4 linked regions of the Coturnix japonica genome follow. The protein of the gene in region 3 purifies or fractionates together with the protein of the main gene of each other region. This does not show direct contact. Links are inferred from orthologs where the notes say so. Each region holds a gene or a part of one and is shown on either strand. Other genes may lie near its edges.

Region 1 (4,025 bases), on a different chromosome or scaffold from region 3:
GCCCTTAAAACCCTGGGCATGCTAAGTGGCATTTCTGGGCTGTCTGGAGGAAGAAAAAAAAATATATATAGGAAAAAAAAAAAAAAGAAAAAAAGCCAGTATTTCAGTCCTCAATTCCTTCTGGACCCCAGAAAGGGATCATTAGATCCGCCACAATTTATGTCAGGTGTCTTCTGGATGAGAGCTGCTTCCCTTTTGCAGATGTTCCCCCCCCACCCCACCCCCAAATCTCTTCCCTCCCACCAGAAGTGTAACAATTTCATATATTAAAAAGATTTGTAAAAAAAAAAATAAAATAATAATAACAAAAACAAATGTAGGCCGTGGCATTAATGTTAGCGGTTACTCTTCATTGCTTCTTTGGCTGCCAGGATCAGTGGCGTCAAGCTAGACAAAGGTTTGGCCAGTTTCAAGAAGGGATGCTGCCAGGATGAGAGAAACACAGTAAATTAGTAAAAGATGGTTTAAAAAAGCCAGTGTAAGGCACATATTCATACAGCTCTTCCCATCCTGAGATACAGAAAGTAGTGCAAATATTATCAGTGCTTCTGAAGGAACAGACTGAGTGGCTGATGGCACTCACAGCCTGCTCATCATCCCCCCCTTCCTAAAACAGTATCAGCCTTTTGCTTTTCAGGAAGAGGTTTCCTGCTCAAATGTCTTCTCTCAGTCCTTTTCTGCTCACTTTAAAGGCTCTACTACAGTAAATCACCACTTGTTAGATAACGTGGCAGAATGATGGTGCAGATTACTGCCAGAAAGACTTCAGAACACCCAGTACAACCCTTGATGACTGTGGTTCCTCCCAACTTACTCTCCCCTGAAGTCCTTTCCTCTTTACTCAGAGGAAAACACAAAACAGAAGGGTGTGTTAGTCTGCAGTGCCTTTTAAAACACGCTTACCTTAGAAGTGGCCTCTGTTTCTCAGACTCTAAGAGAAGCTGACTCTTACCTGTAGCAATTCTTTGGCTGATCCTCTTTTCTCAACATCCATCTCCAAACATCGGTTTAAGAAATCCCTGAATATTGGGGACAGTTTCTCAGGGTTCTGAAGCTCTGGTGTGCCGTTAGTTGCTATCAAATATAACGCCTGTAAAATGAGAATGTTGTACAACCAGCTCAAGCCCTTATAAGATGACAACCTACCAGCCTAGAGACAATATCTCTGTCTAGATGAGTTAGAGCCTGCAGCCTACCTTGCCTCTCCTTGATGAGATGAAAAATGCTAAGAATGCCACTTAAAGGAAGTTGCAATTCATTCTTGCTACTAGTAAAATAACCTCCTAAATCTTTTGGCAACAGTTACTCAAGAGATACACCCAAAAGAAAGTACCAGACTGACAAAGCAGCATGTTTCATAACCTAATGGATTTACCTTTCCTAAACTAAGGTAGAAGATGGAATTCAAAGTCTAAGGTTTCAGTTACATGAAGGTACAATCTGCACATTTATTCTGAACAAAGTGCAAATTCAAGACAGCTGTCATCCTTTTGGATGGCATTTCCTTGCACTACTGAAGGGTAGTGTCTGTGGGCTTTCTTTTTAAGGTAGATGCTATCAAGAATCACACTGAACCCGCTGAGAACATTCACCTGATAAACACCCATAAACAGCTATATCTGCATTTCTTACCCTCAGGGGGTTTTCATTGAGGTACGGGGGTTCTCCTTCCACCATCTCAATAGCCATGATGCCTAGAGACCAGATATCCACTTTAGGGCCATAGGCTTTCCGTGTGACGACTTCAGGAGCCATCCAGTAAGGAGTTCCAACCATAGTGCTGCGCTTGCTCTGCTCTGGGGTGATCTGAGCACAGAAACCAAAGTCGGCTGTAGGATAACAGAATTTAAAGAAGTTACCTTGGTGCATCCCATGGAAGTGGACTTCTTAGTCTTCTCTATTACTACACACATACGTTACTCCTCCACACTCGAGGGGCTTCTGATGGAGGGGGAACATTTCTTCTCCCCACCATATTCTCCATATTACAAACTACAATGTGCAATACACGCATAAAACCTTAAGATGTTTAAGCAGGGCAGGCTTACGTGGGAAAGGTAAGGCTTTCTGTCCTCTCAAAAGGGGACATAAGTATTACCCTGTGCAAGAGTGGTATTTTGCCCAGTGCTTCCTTCAATATTCCTAGACTGATACCAGCCAAAAAAAAAAAGAAAAAATGAAGCAGAACAGCAAAGGCAACTCTTCTGTGCATGGTGTGTACTGCCTGAGCTAAAAAAGGTCCATCTACAAAGCATGGATTCTACTCTGCTAAACAGATGTCAGTTCTGCAGCCATTGAGTTCAGCGTTTCACAGCAATTTGGTCAACAAATACAGGTACTACAGCTGACAGAGATATGGAAACTCAGAGGAAGGAGCCTGGACAAGCAAACCTTTCCACAAAGTAACTACTTGAAGAGAACAACCACACTCAAGAAAACAAGAAAAGTCACCTATTCCTATAGCCTTCAGGTGCAGCAGCAATGCATGTTCCATCATGTTACTTTATCCAGCTGCAGCACTCCCACTTCCCAGGCATGTAAAGCATCAATAAGAACACAGTTAAGGCAGGAAGAAGATTTTACTTTATTATTGACACTAAGTTTAAGAGAGAAAGAGAGAGAGAAAGAGAGAGAATTTTAAATTTCGAATCAATTTTGAAGTGTTAAGCCAAGCAGTACCAACAAAAGAGCCACAGTTCTGAAATGCTAAGCTGTACTAAGAGGACAGGTTAATTAACAACTATCCCACACCCACTGTCAAAGTGCTGCCCGGAAAAGGAGAAAAAAAAAAAACCATCACAAAAACCACACAAAAAAAAAAGAAAAAAAACAACGCTACAGAAGCGACTGAGTTCCTCACCAGCATCTCTTCAGTCAGGCCTCTTGGCAGCTATCAGACCCAATTCAACACACACAGCCCATTTCAACAAACACACCAGAGACACAGCAGCAGTTTATGTCTTCTGCAATCAGCAGGGCCTTCAGCACCATCCCAACCAGCCAGGATAGGAAAGACAGGCAAGGTGCAGATCCCAGTTTAGCCGGTAAGAATGTGCAGGCATTAGTAGTGAGGGCAGCTTTACAGTAACCACTTTTCTGGGCAGGACGTGTGCTTTTAAAGCTTCTGCTAGCTGCTGCCTCCTTCCACAAGATGTTATCTCATCATCACCTAAATGCTGGACAGCCCTTCCAGGGCTCAGGCACCAGTCAAGCAGACAGACTGGTGTCTCTTCCTGCTGCAGACTCCTCCAGAAAGGGAAGAGCTTGAAGTAGGTGCAACTTCCACCCTCCACCTGAACAGCTGGTAGAAGCTCTACAAACACAGCTGGAGGGCTCGCCTTAGCACAAGCACAGCACCTCCCCTTCACACAGCACAATTTCAGAGCTAACTCCTGCTGTATCCAGTCTCCCTCCCCATCATCTTTGCACAGCCTCCCCAGGGGCAGTGCTTTCCCCCACAGGCTGCTGCCCTGCCCTTTCACCACGCTCCTTTAAATTGACAGCTCTTATTTTCGAGCCCTCCCCAGGTGACTCTACTGTGATCATTCCCTTTGGTTTCTGAATCCATTCTGTTTGTTCACAAACACACAACTCCTTTAAACAAACTCCTACACAAGAGAACAGAGCATCCAACAACACTGCTAAGCAAGCCAGGCTGCTCGTAATCTTCCCTCATGCTCCAGCTCGTGACCAACATGAGACTATAAACCATCTGAGTAAGGAATACTGCTGAGATGTGTTTTCATGGCATTTCAAATTCTTATTCAAATCCATCCCTTAAGTTTTCAGCAGTTTAATGCTGTGTATATTCCTGCACAGCAAGAAGTCAGATCATGCACCTCTCAGCATTCCTGTCAGCTACTCCATGTAGTTTCAATGTTCTTTTTTCTGCCACATTTACACACACCAGAAACTGACTTACTGAAGACAAGCTCACGCATGCATAACAATTACCTGAAAAGTAAGCACTTTCTTTAGTCATTTCATTATTTTATTAATTAGATTGTATTATACTTTCAGTCCAA
Region 2 (4,710 bases), on a different chromosome or scaffold from region 3:
ACCTGCTTGGCGCTGAGCTCCCGGTCCAGCTCCCGGGCTCGGTTGTGCCAGACGAGGTAATGCAGCGGGTATCTGCCCTCCGGCCCCTTCCTGCCCGAGCAAGACGCGAGCATCCTCCGTTCATGCTGGAGCGGCGGAGCGGGGCGCGGGGCGGAGCGGGGCGCGGGGCGGGGCGGAACGGGGCGCGGAGCGGGGCGGGGCGGTGGGGGGGGGGGGGTGGGTGGGAGCCGCCCGGACGGTCCCCCCCGCATCTTCCCCCCGCACCGCCCGGCCTCATGGGACTTGTAGTCACTGAGCGCGGCGTCGCCCCTTCCTCCTCCTCCTCCTCCTCCTCCTCCTTTTCCTCCCCGCACCCCCCGCCGGCCCTATGCCCCCCCCCATTGTATGGGGCTGTTCGGGGACGGCTCCGCAGCGCCCGAAGGCACAACCTGAATTCTTATCGCACCCCCCCGCTCTCCCCACCCACGGGCGCTCAACACGCAGCAGCGCGACCCCCGCGATGAGCCCGTGGGGTGCCGACCCCCCCCCGGCCCCATTTCCCTTTCCGCCCCCGTCCCTCCGCTCGTGTTTTCCGGCAGCCGCCAGAGAACAATGCGAGGTTGGGCCCCACGGCTGCCCCCCCCCCACCCTCCGACCCCTCCCCACGCCCCTATGGGGTTCCCGCGGGGTCACCCCGCTCCTTCCCCGCCCCTATGGTGGGCTGTGGCCGTGACGACCCCCCCCCAAAGGTCCCGCTGTCCCGTGACGTCACGGCCATGCAGCGGTGAGCTCAGCGCCGGGCGGGTGCAGCGTGACACGGCGCTGTGCCCCCAGCCCCGGGCGCTGATCGGGGTCCCCCGGGCTGGGGGTGGCGCCCCCCGACCCCATCTGACAACGGCACAGAGATGGGCACCCCCAGTATCAAACCCCCCCACACACACTATGCCAGGTTCAGCCATCGTGGGGGTGGGGGTCGGGGTGATTTGGGGCCTCGGGGGTGCGGGTGCAGGATGGGACCCTGGGCTGGGAATGGGGCTGGGGGCAGGGCCGGGGAGTGCATGGAATCAGAACCGGGACATGGGCTGGGTCAGAACCTGGAACGGGACACGGACCAAGGCTAAAACCAGAACCAATGGATGCCTAGAATGAGACCAACTCAGAACCAGGACCAAAATGAGAACCAGGCCCGGGTCCAGAGGATGCCCAGGATCCGGATCACTATCAGGACAAGAACCAGGGGTTGTCCAGGACAAAACCGGGACCAGGACAAGGTCCAAGACTAACCCAGGACCAAGACCAGGAGCAGGGAATACCCAAAAGCAGGACCAGAACAGAGGCAGGGAATGCCCAGGAACAGAACCAGGATGGGGACAAGAACAAGGAGACGCACAGAATCAGGACTAGAACCGGGACCAGAACCAGAGGATGACAGAGCCGGGATGAGGACGAGAACCAGCACCAGGACGGGCCCCGATCCGCCCCAAAGGGCCGCAGCTCCATCACCCGCTGCTGCTCAGGGCGCGCCGTGACTGCGCTGCGCTGCGCTGCGCTGCGCGGGGCGGGGGCGGTTCTGCTCCTCCTCCGCCGGGGCCGGGCCTGAGCCGCTTCCTGCGGAGCCGCCGGGGCTGCGAGCAGCCGGCAGGGCAGGCGGCAGGAGGGCGAGGCGGCCCCGAGCCCCGCCGCCCCCCCCCGACCCCTCCCCAACCCGACCCCCCCATCCCCCCCTTCCCCGGCCCCGCTCCGCGCTGGCGCAGAGACCCGGGCCCGGCTCGGCGCTGAGGATGTCCCGGAAGGCGCAGCGGGCGGAGGTGTGCGCGGACTGCAGTGCCGCAGGTAGGGAAGGGCCGCGCCCGGCCCCGTCGGCGTTATCCCCCCCCGACCCTCCTCCACGCGGGGCCGTTCGCAGTTCGGTTGTGCGTGTGCCTCCATCCCCTCCCCCCCAGCATCAGCACCTGGATGACGCCCCCCTCCCCCTTTGCTCTGGACCCCGCTGCCCCGCTCTGAACCCCCAGCTTTGTACCCGCGATACCCCGGTGCCTCCCTCCCCCCCCCGCACCCCCTATTTACCCCAGGGGTCCCAGTGACCCCCACCCTTCCTTCACACCCCGTGCTGAGACCCCAGGAGCCCAGGGTTCCCCCTGCATACCCTGCCGACTCCCTCTTTGCCCACAGCAACCCCACAACGTGCCCTAAATAAACCCCCCCCCCGTTCCCCCTGCAACCCTCGGTGCACCCCATTCCCCATCCCTTTGTACCCCTACTTTCCCTCTCGGCACCCAGCACTGTGCCCCCCGGTGCCCCTGTTCTGCACCCAGGAACCCTACAGTGAGCCCTAAAATGCCCCCTGTGCCCCCCAGACCCCTTGTTCTATCTCTTACAGCCCCTTGTTGCCCCCCATTACCCCCCACTCTTCACCCCCTACTTTACCCCCGGGTTCCCCTTTTACACCCCGCACTGGGAATCCCCGCTGCACCCCATTATCTCTATAACATACCCTAAAGATGGCTCCCCCCCCATATTGTGACCCCCAGACCCATCCCTGCGGCGCTGGGGGCAATGAATGAACGTTGAAAGCGGCTCAGAGCCCTGAGGATGGCGGCCACGTGCATGGGGGGCTGCGGGGTCACCCACTGCTGTGGGTCAGCCCCTGTTATAAGGTACCCGGCGGTGCCGAGGTTCCTATGGGGGAAATGGAAAGCTTTTTCTCCCAATCCCTTATCGCCCGGCGGCCATGGGAGGAAATGAGTTATAAAGTCCAGAGGCCGCTTCCGACATCGCGGGGCCGGGAGCAGCCGGTGTCGGGATGTGCGGGGTGCCCGGCTCCGGCATCGCCCCCGCGGCGCAGGGATGGAGTTTCCCATTGCTCCGGGTTATGGGGTAGCACCGTTCTGCTGTGCCCTCAGCCGCCCCGATCCCAATGAAGGAGGAAGGGGTGGCACTGCGAGGTGCTGTATGGGGTGCTGTATGGGGTCCTATATGGGATCCTATATGGGGTGCTATATGAGGTGCTATATGGGGTGCTATATGGGGTGCCCCCCCCCCGGCACGCAGCATCCTGTTCCCGGCAGCGCCCCGTGGGCCGCGGTGCGGAGGCGCAGATGCGGCGGTGCTGCTGCCAAGCGCTGCCATCTGCCCGGGCGGTGCTGCCAGGATTTGGGGGGGGGGACGACGACAACACTGCCTTGTGGCCGCTGCCGGCTGTGCCCCCCATATTAGAGGGGTCGGGGCTGCCTGGTGTGGGGCAGCAGTGGGGTTTTGGGGAGGGGGTGGGAAGGAAGCGCCGCACTGGGTGATGGGGGTGGGTCGCTGGTGGTGCTGCTGCCCCCTCCCACCCGCAGCCCTTCCTCCCGTGGGGCGGCGCGGTGTTTGTGTAGGCCCTATAGATGCACAACACTCCTCTGCTATGGCACAGGGACGCTGGGGACCGTATGGCCCACCCTGCCCCTGCCCCCTGTGGAGGGGGGGGTGGCACCCCATCTGTCCCCCATCCCTTCTGTTGGTGCCGGGGGATCTGGACCCATTGGGGTGCTGGCTGTGGGGAGCTGCCCCCAAAGAACGGTGGGGCCCCCGTGGCTGGAGCGGGGCCGGTGCCAGCACAGTGCTCAAACGTCCCTTTGTTCTCCTGGGGACACAAAGGGCTCCAGTGCGGCCGAGCGGGGCCGGGCAGGGGGCGTGGGGCTGCTGGGGGGGGCACAGCCACTGAGTCCGTGATGGCTGAGTGGGTGGGAGGGCACCCACCTGTATGGGGACACCCGCAGCACAGGGGACACAGCATCGGCACGTAAGGGTGTATTGCACAGTGCTGGCATCGCCCCCGCTGCTGTCAGCCCTTCTGATGAGGGGGCCAAATCCTGCCCCCCCCCCTTGGTTGCTAAGGGAACCCTTTGGGTTTCCCCTGGCGATGGGCTGAGCCCCTCTCCGTCACCCTGGAAACCGCCATGTTGCTACGGTGACGCTGCCCCCCCCCACACACAGCCCCCCCTACATAACACCCCACGCCCCCTGCAGACCCGGGCTGGGCCTCCATCAACCGCGGTGTGCTCATCTGCGACGAGTGCTGCAGCGTGCACCGCAGCCTGGGCCGCCACATCTCCATCGTCAAGCACCTGCGGCACAGCCCCTGGCCCGCCACGCTGCTGCAGGTGGGTGCACCCGGGGGGGGAGGTTACAAGGGGGGTGTCCCATCGGCTCACTGTGCCCCCCCCCATGCATAGATGGTGCACACCTTGGCCAGCAATGGGGCCAACTCCATCTGGGAGCACTCGCTGCTGGACCCGGCGCAGGTGCAGAGCGGGCGCAGGAAGGCAAATCCCCAGGATAAAGTGCAGTAAGTGAGGGCTGTGTGTGGGGATGGGGCTGTGGGGATGGGGGGAGCTGTGGTGGATGTCCCCCCCCCCTCACCCTGTGTCTCCAGCCCCACCAAGTCAGAGTTCATCCGCGCCAAGTACCAGATGTTGGCCTTCGTGCACAAGCTGCCGTGCCGGGATGATGATGGTGTCACCGCCAAGGACCTCAGCAAGGTGGGGGCACGGTGTGATGGGGACCCCCCCTTGGTGCTGCTGACACTCCTGGCACTGACTGCTGCCTCTCCCCCTGCAGCAATTGCACTCCAGCGTGCGGACGGGCAACCTGGAGACGTGTCTGCGGCTGCTCTCACTGGGGGCTCAGGCCAATTTCTTCCACCCGGTGAGCTCTGGGGGGGGCAGACAGCCCGGGGGGGGGGGCATGATG
Region 3 (2,693 bases):
ATTAATGGGGAAGAAGAAAGTGATGGGAATAGCTTCCCCAGTCGTGATTATCTGAAAAAAAGAGCACGGTGCTTTTTGGTTTCTGCTCATTGCCAACTCAATCGTGCTTTCATTCAATAAATAGGGACAGGTGCTTTTGAAGAGAATGGAAGCATCAAGAAGTGATGGGAAACTGCTGCCAGACCCTCTGTGAGCGGCAGTCACTGGCACAGGCTGGGTTTGCTCCTATGAGGTATCAGCTGCTGCAGATGGATTGTGAATCACGGACCGCTCGCTGACTGCTTGAGTTGTGGTCGATTGCTTGTTTGCTTCATTTCCTTATTAAATGGAAGAAAAACAATATATATATTTTTTCTTTTCTTTTTTTGGTAATAAAATTCCCCGAACCAACCAAATGAGGAGGAAGAAGAGGCAAAGGATCCAGTTCTGCATCCCAAAATACACCTGAGGTCACACTGCCAGCAGCTTCTCCTCGAGCTCAGGCAATCAGCGATGACTTGCGTCCCGTCTCCTCCCTGCTGCACTCATCTGTCTGCTTCAGCAGCCGCCGCACCAGCTTCTCCAGGTCCTTCCGAGACTTCAGCTCTTCCTCCAAACACTGCTTCATCCTTTTGTTCTCCTATGAAGCAGAAAAACATAGAGAGAAAGGGGTGGTTAACACCCATGCGCTCCACAAGCCAAGGTGACAAGGTGACAAGGCACCAGGGTCACTGTGACAAAGTGCCAGGGTCACTGCCCGTTTGGGAGATGAACCACGTGAACTATTTGGGGTCTGACTTGTTCAAGCAGACCCTCAACACTGACAGACGGGCATGGCAGCAGCAATGTGTCTGCAGCTACAGGGTGGGACCAGGTGAGATTTCTCCCGGACATTGCCTGGCCATCTCACAGCACAGACAGAAGCTGCAATTACCTGTTTCAGTTCCTTCACTTCATCTTTCAGTGCATAAACCGTGTCAACGAGGCTCCTGCAATAAGAAAAAAATGCAAGAAAACAGAAATTAAATGAAAAAATAAGGAGCTGAAATGCAGTAAAACAGCAACAGCATCGGGAGCTTGGTGACTGAGGCAATGGTGCTTCTATCTCCTGCTTTTCTCTTTCCTTTGTATTTTCTTTCTCTCCATTATAAGCATTGCTGTCGCTGAGGTCACTCTGGAAACACAGCCCAGGAGCACATCAGCCAAAAATTCAGCTTGTTGATAACTTCAAGACAGCAACACAGCAGCCCCAACAAACCAAACCAACCCTGCTTTGCTGTCTCGAAGTTATCAACAAGCTCTGCGGTTTGGCTTCCTTGTTTATGCTGCTGCAAAAAATAATAACAATGGTTTTTAAACTGAAGTATATCTTACAGAGCAGCCCCAAATCCTTCAGGCTGGGCTGCAAAAAGTAACCGTAGAAAGAATGCGCTGCCTGGGGAACAGGAGGGAGCCAACAGCACCACCCCAATGCTGAAGGTATGGAGCAGGCTGGGAGCACTCGGGCAGTGCTCCAAGGAGCAGCAGCAGACCGCAGTGTCTGCAGATGGAAAAGAAAAACAAACAACAAAGCCCCTTGTTTGGATCTGTCCTCCCTGACCCAGTTCACTACACCCAGAGGAGAGCTGGGACTATATATGTTGGCTCTCAAGACCTTTGTGTGGGCTCCCAGGGGGACGCAGCTATCTCTGAACTGCTGAGAATGCAGCACTGTACTTAAAAAGGGAGAAAATAGCCACTGGAACAGCCTGGTGCTCTTGGGATAAGGCAGCAGCCTGGCCAGGGGTCTGCAGCCTCACTTACTTTTCCTCTGTGACAGTCTGACCATTGCTTCTCGTTTCCTCAATGATGATTTTCTCCTCCTCGGGAAGAAGGACTTGGGGGATGGAGTCCTTTCGGGAGCCTGTGTGCAAGAAATGCTCATCAGGAAGAAAAAGGGAGATTTTTCCTGGAGCCCACAGCAGGGGCTGGGAGGGTGATGCAGGGGCTGGGTGTGCAGCTGGGCCAGAGCAGCGAGGGACAGCTTCCAGACCCAGAGCACTCACAGCTCCATCATTACTTATAAATGAAGTGCTTCGGGGAAGGTCAGGAGCTCTCTGAAGAACACGACCTCCCTTTCACAAACGTGCCATAATTTGATAGTTCAGTGATTTAATTTGACATCTTACCAGCAGTGATAAATACTTTTATTTCCAGCGTTGAAGATGGTAGATAGGTTCTTATGAAGCAGCTCGTTTTTAAATACGCAGCTGATGGAGAGATAATATTCATGCTTCCTTTCTAAAGCTACATGCAACCCGAGATTAGCATCAGGTTTTCAGTGCTGACAGCCACAGGCACTGACGAGGGTTGTTTAATTCCTAACAAGTGCTGGTGAAGTAGCTGCATCACATCTGCCCTCCTATCTGCTCATTCTCTGTGTTTAGAAGAAAAACAATGGCAACTAAACCACTGAGCAGATGAAGCTCCCTTATCTCAAAGATTGAACACCACACAGTTTCCTAACATGAGTCTCACTGCTCACTGATGTAACAAGCTGGGTTTTTTTTCCCAGAGGGTTATCAGCGCTACAGGCAGGAGGAGCATTCAAGAACCTGCTGTGTGCCCACCTGAGCTGAGTGCCTGCTGGAAGCCCGCCCCGGTGCAGTACGCCTCGATCACCTTCAGGATCTGAGCATCTTCCTCCAGTGCAGCAGTACCTGGAACACAGCACA
Region 4 (4,025 bases), on a different chromosome or scaffold from region 3:
GGGTGCTCAGGGGGTGCATCCCCTGCTGCAGGGCTCTGCTGGCAGCACAGCCATGTGGCACCACACACCTTCATCCCTGGTGAAGGGGAAGGAATGCACCTCACATGGATTTATAGGGCAGGGCATGACAGAAAACTCCCTGTATTGATTGCTGGGTGGATGCAGGTGTACCTAAGCCTTCAATTTGAAACTGAAATTGCATGCAAATATGATTTTACACAGTACCGTGGCATAAACATGTACATACATATGTGAAAAGAAGGCAGCACGTGTTTGGGGTTTTTACCTCGGATTCCTTCCCAGGACTTTGAAGGTCACTGTGAGATGAAGATGTGGAACCTCCATTCAGCTGTGGGAAACAGAAACATTAGCTCAGGTTGTGTGGGGGCAGAAACAATAAAACCCAATAACCACATGGGGACAAACATCACAGCCAGTCCCAGTGCAGCACCCTATGCCTGCAGGGACAATGGTACATGCAGGGTGCTACTCCTGGTGAAAAGGCACAAATGGGGCTGAGCCCAGTCTTGTGCAAGCCTGAAATTATAGCTACAGCAGGAAGCAATTCTAATTAGCCAGCAGCAGTTAATTGAGCTCAATGAGCCTCAGCAAGGCTAGGAGGTTCCCTCTGCTTTGAGGCAACCTGGGAGCAGGTGGGGACTCACCTGCATCTGTGCAGATCCATTCGTCATGGGCTGAGGCACCACACCTGCGGACCAGGCAGAGGAAACAGAGTGAGTGCACTCATGGGGACGGCCGGGCTGGGCTCCATCACAGGGGCTGCAGTCCCAACAAGGCCCCAGAAGCCCCATGTGCCCCCTACCCCAGAGATGCAGCCAGACCCAGTGTGTGCCCCCCAGAACCGCAATCCCAACCTCATTCAATTGCTGCTTTCATCAGGAGAAAGCCCCTTCCAGCAGGGGTACTAAACCACTTCCCTCCCTAAGCTCTGCATTCAGTGCACTCCTGTTTTTGACAGCGAAACCATTTTTCCTGGGAATTGTTTAATCGGAAATCTTACAGACCAGCCCAACATTCTTTGCTGAAATCAGCAACTTGTTGGTGTTGCAATAGCATGTAGCAAGCAACCCGCTGCCTTTCATGGACCTTGGCACATTGTTGCCCACTTCCAATAATTTGTGTTAGTAATCCTCCATACAATGGCAAATTCAATGCAGATGGGCTGCTAGTTCCCACAACCAAGTCACTGCTCAAGGCAGCCTGGGACAGATGAGACACGGTGCTACAGATGTGCCAGTTGTGACAGGGCTAGTGACTGAATTATACTTAGCACAAAGACTTCCTGGGGGCACAGACCCCATTCTGTGCCCCTCCGTCACCCCAGTGGGACCCCTGAGCAGCCCCCAGCCTACAGCAGCCAAGCAGAGAACAACACTGTGTGCTCATTGTGCAACACTGTACCCAGTGAAGCAAGAGCAGCTTGTAACTGCAGCAGCCCAGGGCTTCTAACTTACAGCTCTGCAGCCATTGTGCATCACAGCATCAATAAGGTTGGAAAAGACCTCCAAGATCACTAAGCCAACCCCCACTCCATCCCACCCTACCTACTGACCATGTCCCTCAGTGCCACATCTCCATAGTTCTTATCACCTTCAGAGACAGTGACCCCACCACTCCCTGGGCAACAGTGCCAGTTCCTGAGCACCCTTTCAGAGAAGAAATGTCCCCCAGTATCCAGCCTGAACCTCCCTTGGCATAACACAGTGCCATCACCTCTCATCCTATCGCTGTTACCTGAGAGAAGAGGCCAACTCCTACCTCACTAAACCCCCATCCTCCTGGTGCAGGGAGCAAGGAGCCAGCGCCCAGCACTCACACACCCACACGCATGGCCCTGGCTGTGTCCCTGCTGCTGGGAACAAGGGCTCCTTTGTGCCTGTGCCAGCAGACCGGGCTCACACCGCTCCTCTTTGAGCCCACTTGGAGCATCTGACACCGCTCTCAGCCCTCAGAACTCTTTGACTCAATTTCTCTGGACCAATCTTCCCACGGAGCACCTGACTGAGCTCGGGTCGGATGGTGACAGGGTGTGGAGTGGACAGACTACTTTCCCTGCCAGGTTCCAGCAGCAAGGGAAACATTCCCTGCAGCGGACATCTGTGATCGCTGCTGTGTGAAGCTCATCTCTGCGTGTGCACATGGGGGCTGTTCTTACTTCTCTCTGCGCCCTCAGGCTCCTTTGCCAAGGGTCATCACGCCCTGCAGCCCCACAGCAGTGCTCTGCTCCCAGACACCGAGCAGCCCTGGGTTGTGCCACCAAAGCATCCCCACAGCTGGACCACTTGCACCAAGTGCTGCTGCACCCATCGACACATCCCACGCAGCATCGTCACCCCACAGCCGCCTTCTGGCAGCCAGTCCCTATGTTAATTATTCACGGTGTAAAAATAATGAGTTGTTTTGTGGCTGGGAGTATTCTCACTGTTTATAAATAGCTGGGTGGTGCTCAGGAAACCGCTCAGGGATGAGACAAGGGAAACATGACTCTGTCACTCCTGAAATCCCACCCTTGTCCTGGTGAGTCACAGGGGCAGAACCAGGCTCTCACCTTTGGTGTGCTCCTCCGTGGGGGTCACCCCCAGCTTTTTGAAGTACTCATCTGTCTCAGGGTCCACCACCAACAACCTGGCTTCGCTCTCTCTGGCTTTGATATGGGACACCACTTCTGAGTGCCGCAGCCCCTCCACATTTATTCCGTTTACCTGCAAAAAACAGCAGTGTTGGACTGCAGCAGAGACATCTCTGACACCCAAAAAAACCTCTGCACAAGCTCCATCTGTCCATTACAGGGAGTTGGCCAAATGACCTTTAAAGGTCCATTCCAACTCAAAGGATTCTATGGCTCTAATTCCTGAATTCCACCGGACCCCCAAACTCTGCCACCTCCTAAACTACATGAGTGCTCAGGACCACATTGGTTCCCCTCTAGCAACTTCAAGCCCAGTATTCATCTTCAGTTTGCCCCCAAAACCTCATCCTGCCTGAGCTCATCCCCAATAAGGGATGAGGGAGGATATCCCTTGTCCCAGCAGCCAGGCAGAGCACAGTGCTTGTCTGTCCCTGACGTGCTGACTCATTTTCCCTTCATCGCACGCGACCTGGGAGCCACCAGCAGATGAGATTTCTCCTCCCAGGCAGAAAGGGAACAATTGTGATTTCTAGGCATTGTTTGTGCTCAGAAATGAACACACCCATTGCCTGGGGCTGGCGCAGACCCTGTAGGAGACACAGTCCCAAGGAGCCAGCCTGGCTTGTAGCCATGCTCCATCCCCACCATCACCCCATAGTCACCCCAATGTCACCCCAATGTCACCCCAACATCACCCCAATGTCACCCCAATATTACCCCAGTCCTGCCCCAGGACTCACCCTGACCCATAGGGAGACCCCAAAGGGGACTGCCCTGCTCTCCCACCCCAACACTGGTACAGCAGGGCTGGGAACATCAATTATTTATCAGAGCCCCAAAGAGCTGGAGCAGGGGGGGGATCAGGTTTCTGAGCTCTCCAGCTCACCCCTCGCTGCTTTGTGCATGCCGGGCACTTGGCCAATGGATGATAAATAAATAACAAAACACCTCGCTGCCATGAACCGCAGCCATGGGTGTCCCAGCCCCAGCATTACACTGCCACAGTGCCAGGGCAGAGCCAGGCTGGGGTATGGTGTGGAGCCCAGCTGGGAAACAAGTAATGTCTGTCCATCTGTCTGTGCTGCTTTAAATGGGGGAACTCATTCTTCAGTAAAAACACCAAGAGACAAACAAGGCGAGGGTGATTCTGTGCAACATCAAGAATTCTGTTGTTCGGCATTAAGCAAAATCGCTTCCAAGAGTGGTTTCTCCCCCCATCTTTCACAATCCTATGCTTTAAGATCTCTCTGCCAAGCGTTTCCCCTGGCTCCAAACTCCTGCCCAGCAGTATGATGGATCTGATGGAAAAGGGCACAGGACTGGGCCTGGATTCAGCATCACGCTTCCCAGCTGAGCATCACATCCCTTCTGCACT

The links.
Region 1: the proteins of ARHGEF6 (region 3) and PAK2 purify together in Homo sapiens (affinity purification with mass spectrometry; 3 studies listed by BioGRID and IntAct, counting the BioPlex papers as one, with this or other methods). This does not show direct contact. The link is inferred for Coturnix japonica from reciprocal best matches to the Homo sapiens genes ARHGEF6 and PAK2.
Region 2: the proteins of ARHGEF6 (region 3) and GIT1 purify together in Homo sapiens (affinity purification with mass spectrometry; 3 studies listed by BioGRID and IntAct, counting the BioPlex papers as one, with this or other methods). This does not show direct contact. The link is inferred for Coturnix japonica from reciprocal best matches to the Homo sapiens genes ARHGEF6 and GIT1.
Region 4: the proteins of ARHGEF6 (region 3) and SLC9A3R2 purify together in Homo sapiens (affinity purification with mass spectrometry; 3 studies listed by BioGRID and IntAct, with this or other methods). This does not show direct contact. The link is inferred for Coturnix japonica from reciprocal best matches to the Homo sapiens genes ARHGEF6 and NHERF2.

Annotation. Positions count from the first base shown.
Region 1 is NC_029524.1:3,532,113-3,536,137, forward strand, and holds part of PAK2 (serine/threonine-protein kinase PAK 2), read right to left. Parts: intron 1,830-4,025; coding exon 1,633-1,829; intron 1,091-1,632; coding exon 953-1,090; intron 423-952; coding exon 336-422; 3' UTR 1-335. UniProt on the Homo sapiens protein: Serine/threonine protein kinase that plays a role in a variety of different signaling pathways including cytoskeleton regulation, cell motility, cell cycle progression, apoptosis or proliferation.
Region 2 is NC_029534.1:4,843,205-4,847,914, reverse strand, and holds the start of GIT1 (ARF GTPase-activating protein GIT1), read left to right. Parts: upstream 1-1,648; 5' UTR 1,649-1,760; coding exon 1,761-1,812; intron 1,813-3,987; coding exon 3,988-4,121; intron 4,122-4,193; coding exon 4,194-4,306; intron 4,307-4,393; coding exon 4,394-4,499; intron 4,500-4,578; coding exon 4,579-4,665; intron 4,666-4,710. Other genes in the region: ANKRD13B (ankyrin repeat domain-containing protein 13B), read right to left, coding at 3-113. UniProt on the Homo sapiens protein: GTPase-activating protein for ADP ribosylation factor family members, including ARF1.
Region 3 is NC_029519.1:4,236,044-4,238,736, forward strand, and holds part of ARHGEF6 (rho guanine nucleotide exchange factor 6), read right to left. Parts: intron 2,679-2,693; coding exon 2,589-2,678; intron 1,883-2,588; coding exon 1,783-1,882; intron 969-1,782; coding exon 914-968; intron 620-913; coding exon 479-619; 3' UTR 1-478. UniProt on the Homo sapiens protein: Acts as a RAC1 guanine nucleotide exchange factor (GEF).
Region 4 is NC_029529.1:6,209,571-6,213,595, reverse strand, and holds part of SLC9A3R2 (Na(+)/H(+) exchange regulatory cofactor NHE-RF2), read right to left. Parts: intron 2,724-4,025; coding exon 2,570-2,723; intron 710-2,569; coding exon 666-709; intron 350-665; coding exon 287-349; intron 1-286.